Rattus norvegicus: one gene and its partners. The protein of the gene in region 2 purifies or fractionates together with the protein of the main gene of each other region. This does not show direct contact. Links are inferred from orthologs where the notes say so. Each region holds a gene or a part of one and is shown on either strand. Other genes may lie near its edges.

The links. Proteins that work in one complex are often made in the same cells at the same time.
Region 1: the proteins of Eif4g1 (region 2) and Eif3a purify together in Homo sapiens (affinity purification with western blotting; 4 studies listed by BioGRID, with this or other methods). This does not show direct contact. The link is inferred for Rattus norvegicus from reciprocal best matches to the Homo sapiens genes EIF4G1 and EIF3A.
Region 3: the proteins of Eif4g1 (region 2) and Eif3g purify together in Homo sapiens (affinity purification with mass spectrometry; 3 studies listed by BioGRID, with this or other methods). This does not show direct contact. The link is inferred for Rattus norvegicus from reciprocal best matches to the Homo sapiens genes EIF4G1 and EIF3G.

The regions. Positions count from the first base shown.
Region 1 is NC_086019.1:269,915,636-269,921,622, forward strand, and holds the start of Eif3a (eukaryotic translation initiation factor 3 subunit A), read right to left. Parts: upstream 3,391-5,987; 5' UTR 3,207-3,390; coding exon 3,158-3,206; intron 1-3,157. UniProt on the Homo sapiens protein: RNA-binding component of the eukaryotic translation initiation factor 3 (eIF-3) complex, which is required for several steps in the initiation of protein synthesis.
Region 2 is NC_086029.1:93,724,786-93,730,018, forward strand, and holds the end of Eif4g1 (eukaryotic translation initiation factor 4 gamma 1), read right to left. Parts: intron 5,162-5,233; coding exon 5,080-5,161; intron 4,970-5,079; coding exon 4,829-4,969; intron 2,172-4,828; coding exon 1,987-2,171; 3' UTR 1,537-1,986; downstream 1-1,536.
Region 3 is NC_086026.1:27,706,557-27,712,532, forward strand, and holds the start of Eif3g (eukaryotic translation initiation factor 3 subunit G), read right to left. Parts: upstream 3,391-5,976; 5' UTR 3,381-3,390; coding exon 3,361-3,380; intron 3,242-3,360; coding exon 3,195-3,241; intron 3,002-3,194; coding exon 2,918-3,001; intron 2,809-2,917; coding exon 2,720-2,808; intron 2,579-2,719; coding exon 2,519-2,578; intron 1,106-2,518; coding exon 1,001-1,105; intron 909-1,000; coding exon 719-908; intron 213-718; coding exon 105-212; intron 1-104. UniProt on the Homo sapiens protein: RNA-binding component of the eukaryotic translation initiation factor 3 (eIF-3) complex, which is required for several steps in the initiation of protein synthesis.

The DNA.
Region 1 (5,987 bases), on a different chromosome or scaffold from region 2:
AATAATCCACTTTCCCAATGTGTAATTTTTTAAATAGATATAAGGTGTCTTTACTTCTAAAAAAATACATTTTTTGTTTTTTACTTTATGTGTATCAGAGCTTTGCTTCCATGTATAACTCTGACAGCCTTTGGTTGTCAGAAGAGGATGGATCCCCTTTCAACTGGAGTTACAACTGATTTTAAGCAACTGTGTGTACTGGCAACCAAACCCAGGTTCTGCCCACAAGTGTGATTTCTTCCTGTCACTTTTAAATTCTTGCTTAGAAATTTGATGTTGTAGAATCAAATCTCTATCATTTGCACTGAAGGAGGTTGAAGTAATAAGATCAAATTTGAGAACAATCTGGGCTACCTAATAAGGCTCTGCCTCAAAAAAAAAAAAGTACAAAAACAAATAAACGTTTTATGACAGAATTAAAGAGTCATTTTCTTAATGATAGGTTCAAGTCCAAGCCCAGAAATCTAGCTTTTAAAGTTTCAAATAAGGAAAAAGACGCTCACTTGAATATAAAACATCTGCTTGGTGTGATGAAGCGATGAAGCATGCCTTTCACCTCAGCATGAGTTTTAGGGCACAGAGCAGCTGAGGACCCCCCCCACACACACACACACACACTCTCCTTAAAATCCCCCACCCACTAAGAAAAGTAAGGGGAGGGAAAATATAAACAACGAACTGAAATTCGAACAAACTCTTCATGATGATCCATGGCTGTGACTCGTCCTTACTCTTACAACTGAGACTGAGGTCCTTGAAATTACCTAATTAATATTGTGGGAAGGCTTTTGCAGCTAGAAGGAATTATTTCAACACTTAGTTGATTTCAAGATTTCAAGTGTCTATAAACCAAAATCCAGAATTATATGTATTATTAGAATAGGCACTCTGCATTTATCTTTAGGATTTGACTGAAACCATGTATCTACCAATAAAGAAAAGACTCACATCAATCCTTCATTTTTCACCAATTCCTGCAACAGATTAAGTATCTAAGCTATAATGTTACTACTTAGTTGTGGGGTTTCATAATATCAGTTTTACTTTTTTTTTTTTCTTTTTTTTCCGGAGCTGGGGACCGAACCCAGGGCCTTGTGCTTGCTAGGCAAGTGCTCTACCACTGAGCTAAATCCCCAACCCCTCAATTTTACTTTTTAAGGCTGAAGTTGTAGAGTGTAAGGGTAAAAGGCTTTGACATTTTCCCACCCCCTAATTACAGCTTAGAGTGACTTGAAGGGCTATTTATTAAAATAATGCAATAGATTAGGTCTAAATATCCCTGGGGCTACAAATGCTACAGATAAAACGTTTAGGTAAACAGATTTCTGAGGAGTGAAAACCCATTTTATCATCTACTTGTTTTATAAACAGCACCATGTGAGATAAGACAATCTGCTCCTGTCAAGTTCCTTGGAAGCTAAGGTATTACTCCTTAATATTCTGGCAACTGTAATGGGGCTGCACCAAGAAGTCACTACAGGTCTTAGGTAAAATGCACCAACAAGACCTAAGTTAGCCACACTGTACCACAAAGTACTACCCTACTTTGCTGATACTTTCCCCAGATTACTCATCATTAAGCAAGTCAACTTAGAAACTGTGAAAAGGAATTTAGAACACATTATGTAACCTTTCTGCTTTAAAAAGTTATTGAAATATTAACCAAGTTCACATGAAGATTCCAAACAGGAGAGAAAAATAGGGTCAGCATGTTACTATGTATGTATGTAGGCCAAAGACTGTAGTGCTTTAGCTAGACTACTATGGGGAAAATGACTGCTGCTGAATGTTACAGCTTAAACATATATAATAGCTATACTTAGTATGTCTGTCCAATTCCATTTTCAACACCACAACGTGATTCTAAGTTTCAAAACATCAAAAAGTCCTAAATTAGCTACAGTTCTAATTTCAATAATAAATTAGTGCTAGCAGTATTAGGTTATCCACGGTGCATTATTATTCTATTCCAGATTGCCTCCACAAAATAAAAAATATAAGTATGCAGCCAACACATCTTTATTCCTGACAAATTATCAGCAGTATTCTTTTGTAAGTTTTGACTCAAATGGCCTTTTCATAAAATGTGGCTTCCACTTCTAGTAATCTTGCCAAACACAAAACCGGCAACATAAATGGTTTATGTTTGGACTGGAGGAGTTAAAAGGGACACAGATACATAATTATCAGGTTTTATTTTAAAAAACAAAAAGCAGTTTTTAAAGGTCAGATCAGATATATGCACACGACTTTTCCACCACAATATCAGAGATCCGGGCAAGTCTTTCCTGCAAGTGCCAGGCTTAATTAAGCACACGTATGGAAATAGAAATAGCACTCAGTGGCACTGCGGTGGAAGGAAAAAAAGACAGAAGAGAAAAAGGGGGAAAAAAAAAAAACCCGAACTGGATATCGAGAGACCTTGATCTTAAGTTTCCTGACACTTCCAAGTGACCTTGGGGGAAACCACTCTTTCTGGAGCTTGTCTGGGGAGGATCATTTTTAAATCCCTAAAGAATATTAACTTTTAATGATTCGAAATACTTTCGAAATGACCCTTATCGAATCGTGGGGAGGGAAACACCACACAGGAAACAAGTTAATGGAGTAGAGGCCTGAAGTGCAAACTAGTAGTGAGGCAAGTAGACCCTGACCCAGAAGGCCTCCGCGTGGGATCTGGAGCCAGACGTGCCGGAGAGGTGGGGTGGAGGTAGACTAGCCGGGCTCCCGACCCCGGCGGGAGGTGGAGCTGAGGTTCTCGCGTGCATTGTCCCCGGGAGGGAGCCATGTTTCCTCCTCCCGGCACTCCCAGATGGCGGCAGGGAGCGCGGGGCTTCCCAAGCAGTCCACGGTCTGAAAGGCCAGCAGGAGGCCGATCGTGGCTAAGAATCGCAAGATCAGAGAGATCTGACCCGCGGGCCGTGGCCCTCCGACGCAAGCCTTGGGCCGCAGCCAGTGGACACACACGGGAGCGACGGTTCCTGATCCGCGCTTTCCGCCGCGGCCCGCTTGAGTAGGGAGGCCGTGTGAGACATGGCCGGGTGGCGGCGGCCGTGACCACTGGCCTCCACAGCCCGGGTGCGGGCAGCAGGAGGGGGCCCTCGAACTCCCAGGCCTCGGGCCAGCCCTGCGCGGCGCGACCCGCTGCCTTACTCACCGTTGGCGCGCTTGAGGGCATTTTCCGGCCTCTGGAAATAGGCCGGCATCTTGGCGGTACGCTCAGTTCACCCGGCGTCAGCGAACTCCCTAGTGGCCTGGACCGGGAGAGGAGGCGGAGGGGAACTAGCGCGAGCTTCCACGCGCCTCGCCAGCAGTCGCCCGCGCCCAGCCGGCCAGAGACGGAAAGGAAGGAGCCACGTGATTCCCTCGCGGCGGCAGCGCCGCCGCCCGAGCCCCGGATGTAAGAGGCAGGCCTTTGCGCATGCTCCGCCTTTCTCTGCGCGCAGGCGTGCTGGCGTCGCGAGCGTGAGCTGACGTGGCGATGGGTGCCGGGCAGCGAGAACAGTTGTGTTCTTTGGGTCGCGGGAGGGAACCCCAAGAAGTTTTCTCCGGCCACCACTGCTCCAGCGGACATAGGGTGGGAAAGGAAAATCTGCGGTCAGATCTGCGACTAAAAAAGGCAGTGTCTACAACAGTCATTCCCAAAATGACGTGCGCAGAATCTGGCCGCGTTAAGGTCGCAACGGCTGTGCGGAGACATCGCCTGGAAAGGTTCAAAATACTTAACGGAAGTGCTGAGCCGGTATCGCTGTCCAGTGGTGTTCGTTGCTAAGAAATAGGGCACCAGTCGCTTAACTGACAAGGAAGGGGAGGGAACAAGCAAATAATAAACAGAGTTATTTGGTATCCTTGTAGGGTTAGCGTCTCAAGGATTCCTGAAAGAAGACGAGCAGGGGCAGAGCCACCTCCTTTGAGTAGAAGACCCAGGAACACAGATAGAACCGTCTTGTATAGTGTTTGAAAATACGCGAGTGTCATCGATTTTTACATACAACTCACGTCACAAATACAAGAAATGCGTGTTGGTGAGGAAATGGCTTACTGCAAGCCATGTCTTTTATTGCTACCTAACAAATTTAGTGTTCATAGATTAATTACTATGCTTAGAGCTTGAAAGCCATTTAAAACCGCGTCGAATTCTGAGGCTCTTGGTAGGAAATTAACTTGAGTTCAGGGCTGCAGATGTAAAGTGGCTGAGCGCTCCTCTATCACGCACAGGCCCATAATCCCTGGCACCACACAAAGGTTCAGAGAAAATTCAGAAGGAAATGAATAAATTATTGCAAGTTCATTATATATTTTACAATAATATGGGATATGTAAATTAGTGAGATAGTGTATCAATGAATGAGGAAACCTTAAAAAGAAAAGTAAAACCTTAAGCTCAGTGGGAACCCACACCTTTCATCCCAGCACTCAGGAGGCAGAGAGAGGCAGATCCCTGTGAGTTCGAGGTCAGCCTGGTCTATAGAGTGAGTTCTACACAGAGAAACCCTTTCTCGGAAAAACAAATTAAAACTATTTTTAAGCTATTTAAAGGTCTGAAGAGATACTAATCTTGCAGAGCACTTTAGTTCAGCTCTCAGCACCCACGTTAGGTTGCTCATAACCACCTCTAATTCTAGTTCCGTGCGTATCTATCATCTCTGGCTTCCCCAACACTTACATTCACATGAACATACCCAAAGACACAGACACATTAAAAACAAAGAATACTTTAAAGTTGATTTCAAGAGTTCTTCCTCCAGAATACTTAGACCATGCTAAATGCACGAACTTTCACCTCCAAAAGCAAGTACCAGACAGGACTGATGTAAAAGAACATCTAGTGTTACAAGCTTTAGCAACTGTTTTATGGGCATGATCAAGGGACTTCTTTGTGTATATTATAATTAAGTCAAATTTTAAAAGTCAAACATAAAGAGCAAATGGTTCCTTCTTGAAGTTTTTAATTACATAATAGGCTAAAGAAAGATGCAAACAGTAAAATCAAAAGAAACTTGGTCTAAATATCAGAAAAGGCTTTCTACACATTCTCGATTCCTTTATTACATCAGAAAATAGTAAAAATAGGAGCTGAAAAAATGGCTTAGCAGTTAAGAGTACTTTCTGTTCCTGAAGAGGATCCATGTTTGATTCTAAGCTTCCATAAGGTGGTTTATAATCATCCATAACTTCAGTTCTAGGGTATCTGACACTTTCTGACCTCTACAAGCAACAAGTGCACAAACATTCAAAAGGCAAAATAGTCATAAAAGTAAAATGGGTTCAGCATTACCTATGTAGTAGGCCCACAGTCAGATAAGCACTAGAAAATTAAAAAAATGAAGTGAAATGAAATATCTCTCATACTGATAATTTTCCCTTCATGTTATTTAAAGCATAAGAATCATTGGTGATGTAATAGCCAATGATCATGTAAGTGCATTAAAAAGAATGAGACAAATTAATTGTATACAGTGGCTGGTATCTGGTCCAAGCCACTCAAAGCCTAAGACAGAAAGATCACTAGAACCTCGGAGTTCAAGCCAGCTGAGCAATAAACAAGACACCATCTCCAACAATTACTTAGAGTCTGGTACTCTTTGTTAATGAAAGTAATAATGTTGATTACCAGGGGTAAATACATTCCACCAACAGGTTTTTGGTACCAGTTAGCAGCCATAATGTTGAGTGTTAGAGATGTTAAGATTCTCAATGCTTGGGGTTGGGGATTTAGCTCAGTGGTAGAGCGCTTGCCTAGCAAGCGGAAGGCCCTGGGTTCGGTCCCCAGCTCCGAAAAAAAAAGAAAAAAGAAAAAAAAAAGATTCTCAATGCTTCCTTTCAAAGAATTAATGATTCCCTGATAAAAATAGATGTTTATACAATGAAAATCAAGATAGGATCTAGTTGGACCAAGAGAAAAGCATAATTATCTGCTGATTAATGCTCATTTATCAGAAAACAACCATTCAGGCCTGGTAAAGGTTGAAGGATTTTTTTTCCTT
Region 2 (5,233 bases):
TTCAAGGGAAGTACAAATTTCAGCCAGAGTTTACTTGTAAAACAACCTCAAATATCAACCATACTAATGCTCTGTGTGATTAGCCATCTGCTTGGAAATCCTAGGACTCATTCCACACGCATTCCTTGACATAGGAGGTAGACTGGCTGACCTAGAGCTAAAGCACTCCACCCAAAATACACACACACACACACACACACACACACACACACACAGGTCTTCATGGAAACCAGGAGGCCTGGGCAGGGCTCAGCTGTTATGAGAAGACTCGATGATGTCCCGTCTCTGGACTTTTTCTCCTCAGACAAAGGTGATTTGTTTGTTTGTTTGTTTTGGGGGGTTAATAGGAATAAAATTATGTTAGCGTGAGAGATTATCAATTTGTTCACAGATGCTCCACCTGGGGCTTCGGACCGTTTAATTAACCAGCTGGCTCTGAAGCTTGGAGCAAGTGTTAGGCAAAAATTCCGTGGTGGGGTACTTGGCCAGCATTTGCAAGCTGACTCCTGAGGATGATAGCACCCAGGTAGGAGAGGCAGGTTCAGAGCAAAGAGCCACTCCTAAGACAGTGAGATCAGAGAGGTAGGTGTAGCCAATGAAGAATGTAGATACAATAGGCTAGTTGCCAGGAGCCAGGAAGGAGGGGGCCGCAGGTTGTCCTGTGGCTCCCAGGCTGTGCCCCTGCAGCCACTCAGCAGCAGGAATACAGGCAAAAAGCAGAAGGTGAGTACACCACGGAAAATCCCAGTAGCAGGCAGGCCACAGAACAAGCCAGAGTCAGTTAGCCCCCTCGCAGTACGCTCATCTGGCCCAACCCGCCTCCCTGACGCAGGCTCCTCCCTCTCCTTATACCAGCCCCCTCCTCACCGCCCCTACCACCCACGGTCCCACCTGGCAGCTGTGTAGCCCAACTCCCTATCCGTGCTCCGGCCTCCGCCTCTTACCCTGACCGGCTGAGCGCCGAGAGCCAATACAGCCCATGGCAGGGCACCCAGGCACGCTAGCCCGCGCTCGGGACCCGGGCCATCGCCTTGCAGAGGGTCGGGCCGCGGTCACCACCAGGGAGGGGACAGCCTGTGAGAAGGGGAGGGGGTGGGAGCAGCGCGTCTGCTGCCGCTCCCGAGAGAGGGGAACAGGGCCGGTGACGTAAGCGCGGGGCCGTGCCCACCCAGAACAGGCGGGGCAAGCCTACGTCACAGCCACTCAGTGACAGCCTGGGTCTCACAGAATCTCCAGTCCACTGCGGAGCTATACTGAGGACAGAAGCCGGTAGGCCGTGCAGTCATTTTACAAGGGACATCCCACTTATGGCTTCTACAAGGGCTTCAAACTCAGGGCCTGGATCAATCCAGCAGAAACTTAAGTATCCTACAGCACTCCTCTCCCGTTTCATCATGTCAAACTGATGCCATGATCCCAACCCTTCAGAAAAGCAATTCCCCAGGTTCCCGAAATTTTCTGATAGGTAAACAAGTATCAATGAGTGAACAAATCTGGTATACTCCAACGGTTCAGATCAGTAAAGAGGCAATAAACTTAATTGAATTCATGTTTAATAATTACAGGCACCGTGCCCAACCCTTCCCCCTGCCCTGGCAGCAGCAGGGGTGGTGCAGGGGCTGGGGCATATGCCCCCAGCAGCGAGGACGGCAGTCCCAAGAGTGATTTCAGAAAATAAAAAAGGACCCTAGAGGCAGGCGGTAGTGCCCCTCCCCCCGCAAAGACACACCAAATTTCAAGACTTTATATATATATCTCTGTGCCCTGGGGGGAGGAGAGAGACACTTGGCAGCATCCTGGAGGGGGGCCCCAGGCAGCCCCAAGCCATCCTGCCTCATCAGCCACTTTATTAGCTCAAGACACATCGCACTACAGGCACCCACTGCCACTGCCGCCACAGCCGCCGCCGCCCCCCTGCAGTCCAGGCGGCTGGCTGGCTGGGCCATCCACGTGTCCATGGCTCCAAGTCCCCTGCCCCACCCGCCATCAGTTGTGATCAGACTCCTCGTCCTCAGCCTCACGAAGCCAATTGAAGAATGCTGTGACAGATTTAAGGGCCACACCCTTGCCCTGCTGTTCAGCAGGGTCCTTGCTGCTCTCCCAGCTGTAGAAGGCGTCTTCCTTCACCACGTCCTCATCATACAGAGCATCAAAGAACATCCGAAGCAGGTCTGCAGGCCACAAGGACAACAATTAGATGACTAGCCAAAGCCTTAGATCCCTCCCACAGAGACACTGCTAACACAACCTTGATCTACCATTCTGGTATTCAGAGTGACTAGGCCTCTGACAATACCAATCTCATGACAGAGATTACCAGCCCAAGAATGGGTTACTTAGCCATTAGCAATCCTTAGAGACAGGAAAATGTAAACCCAAATATTTGGGAGACTGAGGCAGATCAAGATAGCAAGCTCATAGCAAACTGGCAGCTTAGCAAAATTGTCTGAAAGGGGGAGAAACTGAGACCAGGTACACACATTTAATCTCAGTGCTCAGGAGGAAGAGAAGGGTAGATTGAGTTTGAGACTACCTTGGTCTGCAATAGACTTGTTTCTAGGCCAGCTAGTTCTGTTATCAGTGAGACCACATCTCAAGAGAGCAAAGGGAGGGAAGGCTGGGTGTGATGGTATATTATGCCTATAGTCCCAACACTTGGCTAGCCTGCAAGACTACAGAGAGAAACCTTGGCTTAAAAAAAACAAAAACAGGGGTTGGGGATTTAGCTCAGTGGTAGAGCGCTTGGCGCAAGGCCCTGGGTTCCGTCCCCAGCTCCGGAAAAAAAAAAAAAAAAAAAAAGGAAAAATGTTAAAGTCTGGAAGTCTGGTGCCCACAACTGGAATCCCATTACTTGGTATATAGAGGGAAGGAGGATCAAAGGTAGGGAAAGCCTAAACTACATAACTGGTTTTGAGGCCAGCCCAGACTATTAAGATTGCATCTCGGAGACAAAATAAGTAATAAATAATGAATGGAAGTTGAAAGCTAGGCACCGGACACCTGAGTTCCAGTATTTACGAGTCTGTGGCAGACAGACTACCAACAACTGTTGCCTCTTCTTCCCACACACTTGTACCCCTCTGGCCTCTGGGGAGTGACACTCTGCCCAGTGGTACATTTCTCTTAGCACCCATCTTCAGGGTGAATCCCCCCCCCCCCAACCTCCTCTGACCCGTGCTTGTTTTAGGCCATCACAAGCAGCTTTCCTCAAGTGCTTGTCTTAGAATACAATTCCAGAACACTGTCCATCCCATTCCTCACAAACCCCATTACCTGAAGCACAGGACCTCAAGCCCAGCCCAAGGTGGCAAGTTAGCTTACCAACTATGGGAAGTTTAGGCCAGACATTCCTGTTTTCCACGTCTCTATGGATATAGCTGATCTTTCACTTATCCCATATCTTGTGTTCCAAAACCTGTGTGTGCGTGCCCCACCCCTGAGAACCCTGTACAACCACTCATCTATTTACCACGTGTGCTAAGTCCAATCTTACCACAACGCCAGCTTTCAACTATCCCAAAGCTAAACGAGATTTTTGTATCTGTTTTTCCTTCTGTCTCAGTCCTGTCCAATTCAGAATTTCAGAACCCTACTTACTCTCAAATACTGAAGCTTGCTAGGAAGACCTCAATGTCTTAAATACTCAAAGTGCTTAATTTTTGGATACGCTCCTACCACACTGAGGCATCTAGCATTTTCAACCATTTTTCTATACCAAATTTTCTTTTTGCTCATAGACCCCTGCCCTATCTGTGTCTTCTATTTTGCCAGGGTTCTTATTCTTGAGGCAATCCCACATCCTTTTGTAAGAACATATTGGAAAAGGCAGGAGTCCCAGCAGAACCATTCAAAGTAAGCCTCAGTCTCCACTGTAAAGTGAAGTAAACAGCTGACAGTATTTTAAAGGTAATTATGCTTCAACTACTGTTTTGCTTTTTGTTGTATATACGTAGCCCTGGTTGTCTTGATCAGAGACTCACTTTCCTGTCTTCTGAGTGCCACCATGACCACCTGGGGAATAGGGGCATTCTCTGAAACAGGGTCTAATTAATTAGCCAAGGCTAGTCTCACACTAGTATTTCTCTACCTCTGGTGTTAGGATCACAGGATGTGACACCATCCTTTCTTTGCTTACAATCCCAAAAAAGCCTTACTCCATTTGGTGCAAGCCCCTTGTCAGTACTTACCTAGCCTGAAGTATCTGTCCCCTTCCCCCCACTTCTCCAGTCCCTCTTGTTCATGACTGCTGTACCTTCCTTCAGTAGCTCTTTTCACGTTTTTATTCCAACTCAGGCTGCCTGCTCTCTATCTATAGGGAACCAATTCAAACCCATCATCTCTTGGACCCATCTTCCAACATTCATGCTCCGACTCCAAGCCAGCATAGAACTAAGCTCACTACAGTTATTTCAACACCTAAGCATACCCATGTGCTGAATTTGCAAACCTCAGACATGGTCATAAGCCCCCACTTCCAATGAGGAAAATGGAGACAAATCCCTAACAACCATTAACAAGGTAGGCAAGCACTTTAGCCTTGTGTCAGACAGATGGGCACATGGTATCTGAAAGATATTACTGTTTATCACCTCTGCATTGCTGTCATCTACTGGTCAAGCACAAAGCGGGCAGGCAATCAACCCTCCAGGCTTAGATTAACTCATTCCATTTGTAGGCAAGGAAACAAGCAGAGGGTAGGGTAAGTAACAATCAAACACCGGGGCATTTTACTCTCTCCCCGCCTCTCTTGCATTGAGTACCTTCCATGAGCACAGTCTTGTAGCTGGCAGTCCCTCCGCCCCACCCTCCCCTGCAGCCTGGCTCTTACTGGCAGGCTGTTCTAAGGTCACTACAAGGGCCTGGAGAGCATAGAGTGCTTGTAGCTCCTTCTGCTCATCACTCAGGTATTTCTGAAGCAGTCTTGCTCGCACTTTCAACACTTGAACATCCACTCGGAGAGGAGTCTCAACTACAGGAAAAAAACAAACAAAACAACAAAAAAGTGGAATAATGCAGATTTTACTTGGCTTAGCCCTAGATTGCCTGGCCCACCCCTGTCCCACCACCTCTCTGGCTTACAGATAATTGCAGAATAACAGACAGTTGTCATGAGGGCTCGAACTAATGTATTGGATGCTATCTGCTGCTCATTCAGGTTGGCCTGTGTGGGAACACAAATGCACCCTAAGTATCCACTCGTTACTCCCCAACCACCCACTCCAAAATCTACCTC
Region 3 (5,976 bases), on a different chromosome or scaffold from region 2:
TAGCCGTGAGGAGGATGCCGTAGTCAGACCCACGCCCACAACGCAGGACTAATTACAGGGTGTCTAGGTACCACCTGCTCCCTGGGTTTTCCTACCCTCCTCACCTCTGCGGTTTGGCTGCATAGACTCCCCACGGCGGCTTGCCCCGTCCCGGAGACTAGGAGGCACATACTTCCCTGTCTTGTTCTGGGCGGCCTGCACAGGCTCCAGTTCTGGAAAGCAGCAGACAAAAGTGATATTCAGCCCACCCCTGGGGACAGGCGTCCAGCCACCCTTTGGTGACCCACATCATATCCAGGAAGCTACAACCCTTCAGAGTCTCTACTCACGACATGGACAAGGTGAGCAGGGCAGACGTGATCCGGGCTTGCAGAGCCCTCCCTACAAGCTAGAGAATACCAGCTGGCAGCAGCCTGACTATAGGATGTCCCTCAGCAACACATCCATGATAGCAAGAATCAAGTCACAGAAGGCAGTTACCCCCACAGGACATGTTAGATTTCGGTCTACTGAGCCCAGCACATATGTGGGTGTCACCTGAATGTATGTGTGCATACATACATATACACACGCACACCCAAGTTAGAGTAAGTCATCAGTCACACTTGCATCAGAATGACCACCATGCCCAAAGTTGTCCCTAGGTGATATAGGGAAAGAAAACAGTACACTACAAAAGGAACAGCTGAGGCCCCTCCCAGGCGCCCCATGCCCACACCTCCTGGCAATTTCTCCTTCTCCCCGGTAGACAGGCCCAGCTGCTCAGCCAGCTCCTTCTGCATGGGTCCTAGTGTGTCCTTGTAGGGGCAGCGGGTGGTCCAATGGTCGCCCTTGCAAATGCGGCAGGACACGATCTTCTGGCCCTTGAGCTTGTTCATTGGGTCCTCCTCCTCCTGGCAGTTCAGGTCCTGGTGGGGAAGGGATGGCTCAGAAGGGGCTGCTATGTCCTACCCACCCCACTCCCTCTGCGTTTCTCAGGTTCCAGTTTCACCCTGCTCACCTCTTTGCTAGTGATGAATGTCATGGAGACGTCATCACTGACTGTGGTAGTGGCTACATTGGGCCCTGGCGGGTCAAACTCTGAGTTGCCAAACTTCTTCCAATTCTGGGCTCCCAGGAAAAGATGGGGAGGTGAGGATGAAGGCAGGAAGGATCCCACAGTGCAGCACCCCAGACAGACAACCATTCCGGGGCTTTGACTCCTATGTTCTAGTTTCCCTAGAGGCCTTCCGTGTGGTAACAGTGACAATACCCACTTCCTAAGATAGACATGGCGGCACATGACATCACTCCAACATCTGCCAGGTGCAAACAGGAGGATCCTGAGCTGCAGGCCATCCTGAGACACAAGCTCTAAACCAGCTTGAGCTGTATGAGGCCCCATCTAAATGAATGAATAAATACATAAGAAAAGGAAAAGGGGGCTGGGGACTTAGCTCAGTGGTAGAGCGCTTACCTAGGAAGCGCAAGGCCCTGGGTTCGGTCCCCAGCTCCGAAAAAAAGAACCAAAAAAAAAAAAAAAAAAAAAAAAAAAAAAGAAAAGGAAAAGGTGCTGGTGCCGTAGCTCAGTGTGAAAAGGTGCAGTTTACTTGTTGTACTTGTAACAACCTGAGCTTGATCCCAAAGTCACACAAAAAGTTGAGCATGGGGCTCAACTGTGCCACTGCAGTTTCTGGGCAGGTCAGTAGCCCAGCTCCCATCAGGAATGAAGGAGGAATCCCCAGATCTTAGGAACCTTGAGCTAGTTAGACCTGAGGTTCATTTCCTTCCTGTAACATGGGGGCCACAAAGCCCCCTGCCTCCCTAAACTGGCGTGGGGATTGAGAAGCCATGTCGAGCTAGATGACTTGGGGGGGAGGGGTGCTTGCTCTCAGGCAGTGCTGCCCCGGCTAGACGCCCTTGCCCCCTTGGTAAGTAGAGGCTGCTCGCTTCTTCATGTAGACAAAGGAGGAAGAATCTAAGTGGGGACTCGGGAGGCAGAAGCATTCTGAATGAAGACTGTAGAGCTAAAGTCTCTCAAAAATAACAAGCCAGGAAGTGGTGGCAGTGCCTTAAATCCTAAGTCTGGGGTAAAGGCAGGTGGACCTCTGAGTTCATGGTCAGCCTGGTCTACAGAGAGTTCAGAACAGCTAGAGCTACAGAGAAACCCTGTCTGGAAAAAACAGACAAACTACAAACAGAAAAACCAAGAGGGCTGGATATGTCTCAGTACAGTATTTGTCACAGAAGTGCCCATCAGAGTTGATCCCAATGAAGATCTGAGATCAGAGGCATGTACTTATGTGGGAACAGCAAGCCCAGTCTAGTTTCTAATATAAAGAGACCATCTCAAACCAAAAGTGCGCACACCTGCGCACAAAAGGAGAAGAAAAAAAAATCTTAACTTCATCTACTCCTGGGTCCTAAACTTTCAAGGCCTAACACTAAACTTTTATTCTACATCAACAAAAAGGGGCTTCCTAAGTCCTCTGGTCAGTCCTGGGGAACACCCCCATCCCCCAAATAAGTACACTCTCACCTTCCTCCTGGCCACAGCCTTTGATGCCTTCCGGGTCTCAATTCTGAAGGTTCTGACAATCTGAAGGTGGGAAAGAGTTAGGAGTGCTTCCCGAGTCTCAGGCCTGCCTCAGCCATCCAAAGCAACACTGACACTCTTCACCACCGATCTAAGAGCCCCTGAACAAGTCACGCTGACCACATATGCCCACCTCACCCTTACCTTGAACTTCTTCCCATCTTCCTCTACCTTGTACTCAGTCACCGTCTTTATGTTCCCATTGATGACTTCCTTGGGAGGTGGCAGTGGGTCTGGAGGAAGATCACAGAAACTAACTCCTGGGTAATGGGACTGGCTGGAAAGTAGGCTTGAGAATCGGAAGGGAGAAGGGAGAAGAAGGCAGGGATGGACGGTGCTCACCTCCAGGAAGTAACTCCGGCTCTGGACTGGTGTCACCGGTGGGCAGAGGGATTCCTTTCAGGAGCTCGCTGGTGACACACTTGTCTGCCGGAGGGAATTCGGGGAGGAAGGTAAGTGAGCCACAGCGCTGGAACTTTCAAGCCAATGGCGGGGGTTGGGGTGGGGGACCGCTCCAGGGGCAGAGCGCAAAGCGAGGGTGGGACTGGCCACAAGCGGCCCTAGCCTGTGCGTGGGCATCCGGGTCTCGCAGCGGGCGGGGCCGCGCACAAGCACTCACCGTCCTCTCCCTCCTCTTCCACCTGGTCGGCCCAGCTGGGCTTCGAGCTGCGGGGACAGGAGATCGGTGAGCGGGTCCCGGGCCCCGCGCTACCTGGACCACCATACACCCCAGAGCTGCCCCCACTCGGCCTCTCTGGCGACCCCCACCGCCACCGAACACTTACTCAAAGTCGCCAGTCGGCATCTCGAAGTCCTACTCCACGCAGCTCTCAGCCCGGGTAAAGACCGGAAGCCCGTGTAGAAGAGGCTTCCGGTGCTGTGGCCGCTGCCTAGAGCGGCCAGACCGCGGTGACCACAGCGCCTCCCTGTGGACAAATGTGGACATGCATGTTTTGCGTGCCGCAAAGCGCTGGCATCCAACCTGGAAAGGGGGTCTAGAAAAGAGCTTCTAAGAGCGTTTTAAACTTTTTACTCCCTCTTTAGGCTGATGGAACTAGATGTCAGTGTCTCACTCTATAGCTAGGATAATCAGTAACTCCCCACAATCCTTCTGTCTCAACTCCAAAACGCTCATGAACATCATTCCCAGGGTGGCCTTGAATACGAGGCTGTCCTGAACCTTGTGGTGTATGTACCCCAGCTAGCCTTGAATCTTTCCACCTCATTCTAGCAAGTGCCGGGAATACGAACATGAAACCACCACACTGGAAACTGATTCGTTCTCTCCCTCCTCTTGGAGAATTAGTTTTAATTATCACCCAGTGTTAGAGGTGGAAGCTGGAAAATCATGAGTTGAAGGCCATTTCAGCTACTTTTTGGATTCCAGGCTAGCCTGTGCTACATGAGACTCTGTATCCAAAACTAAAACCCTTACTTTGTTCCCCAGGCTTGCCCCTGAACTCCCGAATGCAAGCAATTGACAAATAACTGGCATTATACCAACAAGCCTGGGGGAAAAGCACATGTATCAAGAATGCCCTTAAAAAAAAAAAAAAAGAACCAAAAAAAAAAAAAAAAAAAAGAATGCCCTTGATTTGTGTTGTTTGGATGATACCAGGACTCTGGTTTGTTGAAGAAGATATAGACTCAGACCACCTGGTCTCCTGTGCTTCCTTTTCTGTGACGCATGCTAGGTTTTATCATGCAAACTTGCGTGTGTGTTTGTACTGTGTTTGAAGACACCGTGCTTGTGCACTCACAAACCCTTATGCACAGTACACGTGTGGAGGTCAGGGGACACTTTGCAGGAGGCCTCTCCTTCCACTATGTGGGTCCTGCAGCTCAGGCCCGCAGTCTTGGCCTCCTGTTGGGGTCAATGAATCGCTTCACAAACCACATGAACACCAATCTCTGACAGACACGGACAGTTTATTTAGCGTACATCCCAGGACTGGTTGACCAAGGTCACACTCCAGATTCAGGGACTGAACCCCAAGCTAAGATCCTGCAGGGTTGTTAAGCCCCAAATCCACAAACATCTGTGCCAAGTTATTTCACCAATCAGGATTTAGGGATAGGCAGATTTCCTTGGGATCATGTCTTTGTTGTACACTTACCCTGCTCCCAATGGTTGGGGTATTCAACTGTGGCAGGGGACTTGCCTTGTCTAACATTCAAGTCTTAACTTGCCAGCCAGGGGGCTGGAGAGATGGCTCAGTGGTTAAGAGCGCTGACTGCTCTTCCTGAGGTCCTGAGTTCAAATCCCAGCAACCACATGGTGGCTCACAACCATCTGTAATGATATCAGATGCCCTCTTCTGGTGTGTCTGAAGACAGCTGCAGTGTACTTATATATAATAAATAAATAAATCTTTTAATTAAAAAAAAAACTTGCCAACCAGGATGTCAGTTATCCATGCTCATGTCTCTTTTTGCTCTCTGAGGTTGTCAGTTCCCAGGAAGGTCTTGGGAATGTAATCTTTACTCAACTCCTACTCAAAATGGAAGTCTTGTTCCAAATAGTTTCTTACACTGGTGCAGGTGTCTCTCTTATGTTGGGGTCCATCCCAGGGGCAGCTTACAAAGGCAAGTGCCATAGAAACTTATGTATGGTTCAGGAAGTGCTGCTGGGTGGCCGATTCGGGTCCAGGCTTATTGTGGGTCATGATACAAAACCGTTCTACTGACTTCTATCATGATTGATTTCCAAGGGCACAGAGCATAACAGAATACGTAATCAATCTCGGCATTAGAAAGTTTCTTAGTAACAGCAGAGACATGGGAAAGTTTCCTTATAATGGTAGGCTACCCAGGTAACAGTCACCTAGGCCCTAACATTTTATCTAGGCCTTAAAATATTTTACCTAGGTCCCAATACCTCCTTAGCTGCAAAAGCATGTCGTAAGTTCTATTCCTGCCACCTTAAACTATCTCCCATGTGAAGCTCTTATCAAGTAAATGAAGACTATAACAGATTCTCTGCCTCCAGGGACACCCATTCCAAGCTCCGTGTGTAATGGCCAATACTCCCGGCACTTAGAACTTGTATCTTGGGCTGGCCAATGACTCAGTGGGTGAAGGTGCTTTCCATGAGCCTGTTGCCGTGAGTTCAACCCCAGGACCCATCTGGGAGAAGGAGAGAACTGACTCTAGCAAGTTGTTCTCTGAGCCCACACGTATGCCGTGGTGTGTTCTCACACACTGAATTGGAGTGAAGTTCTTGTAGAATCATGGCGTCTAGGGTAAACACCAGCGTGAATAGCTGTTTTCTAGAAGCACTAAGACCTTGAAGAAATCTTGTGAGGATGTTCAAGATTCAGTCCATAGAGACTGGATTTCCCTGCGCCCAGAAAGGCCTTAATTCATCCTCAAGTGGTTCTCTTTCTTCAGTGGACCCTCAG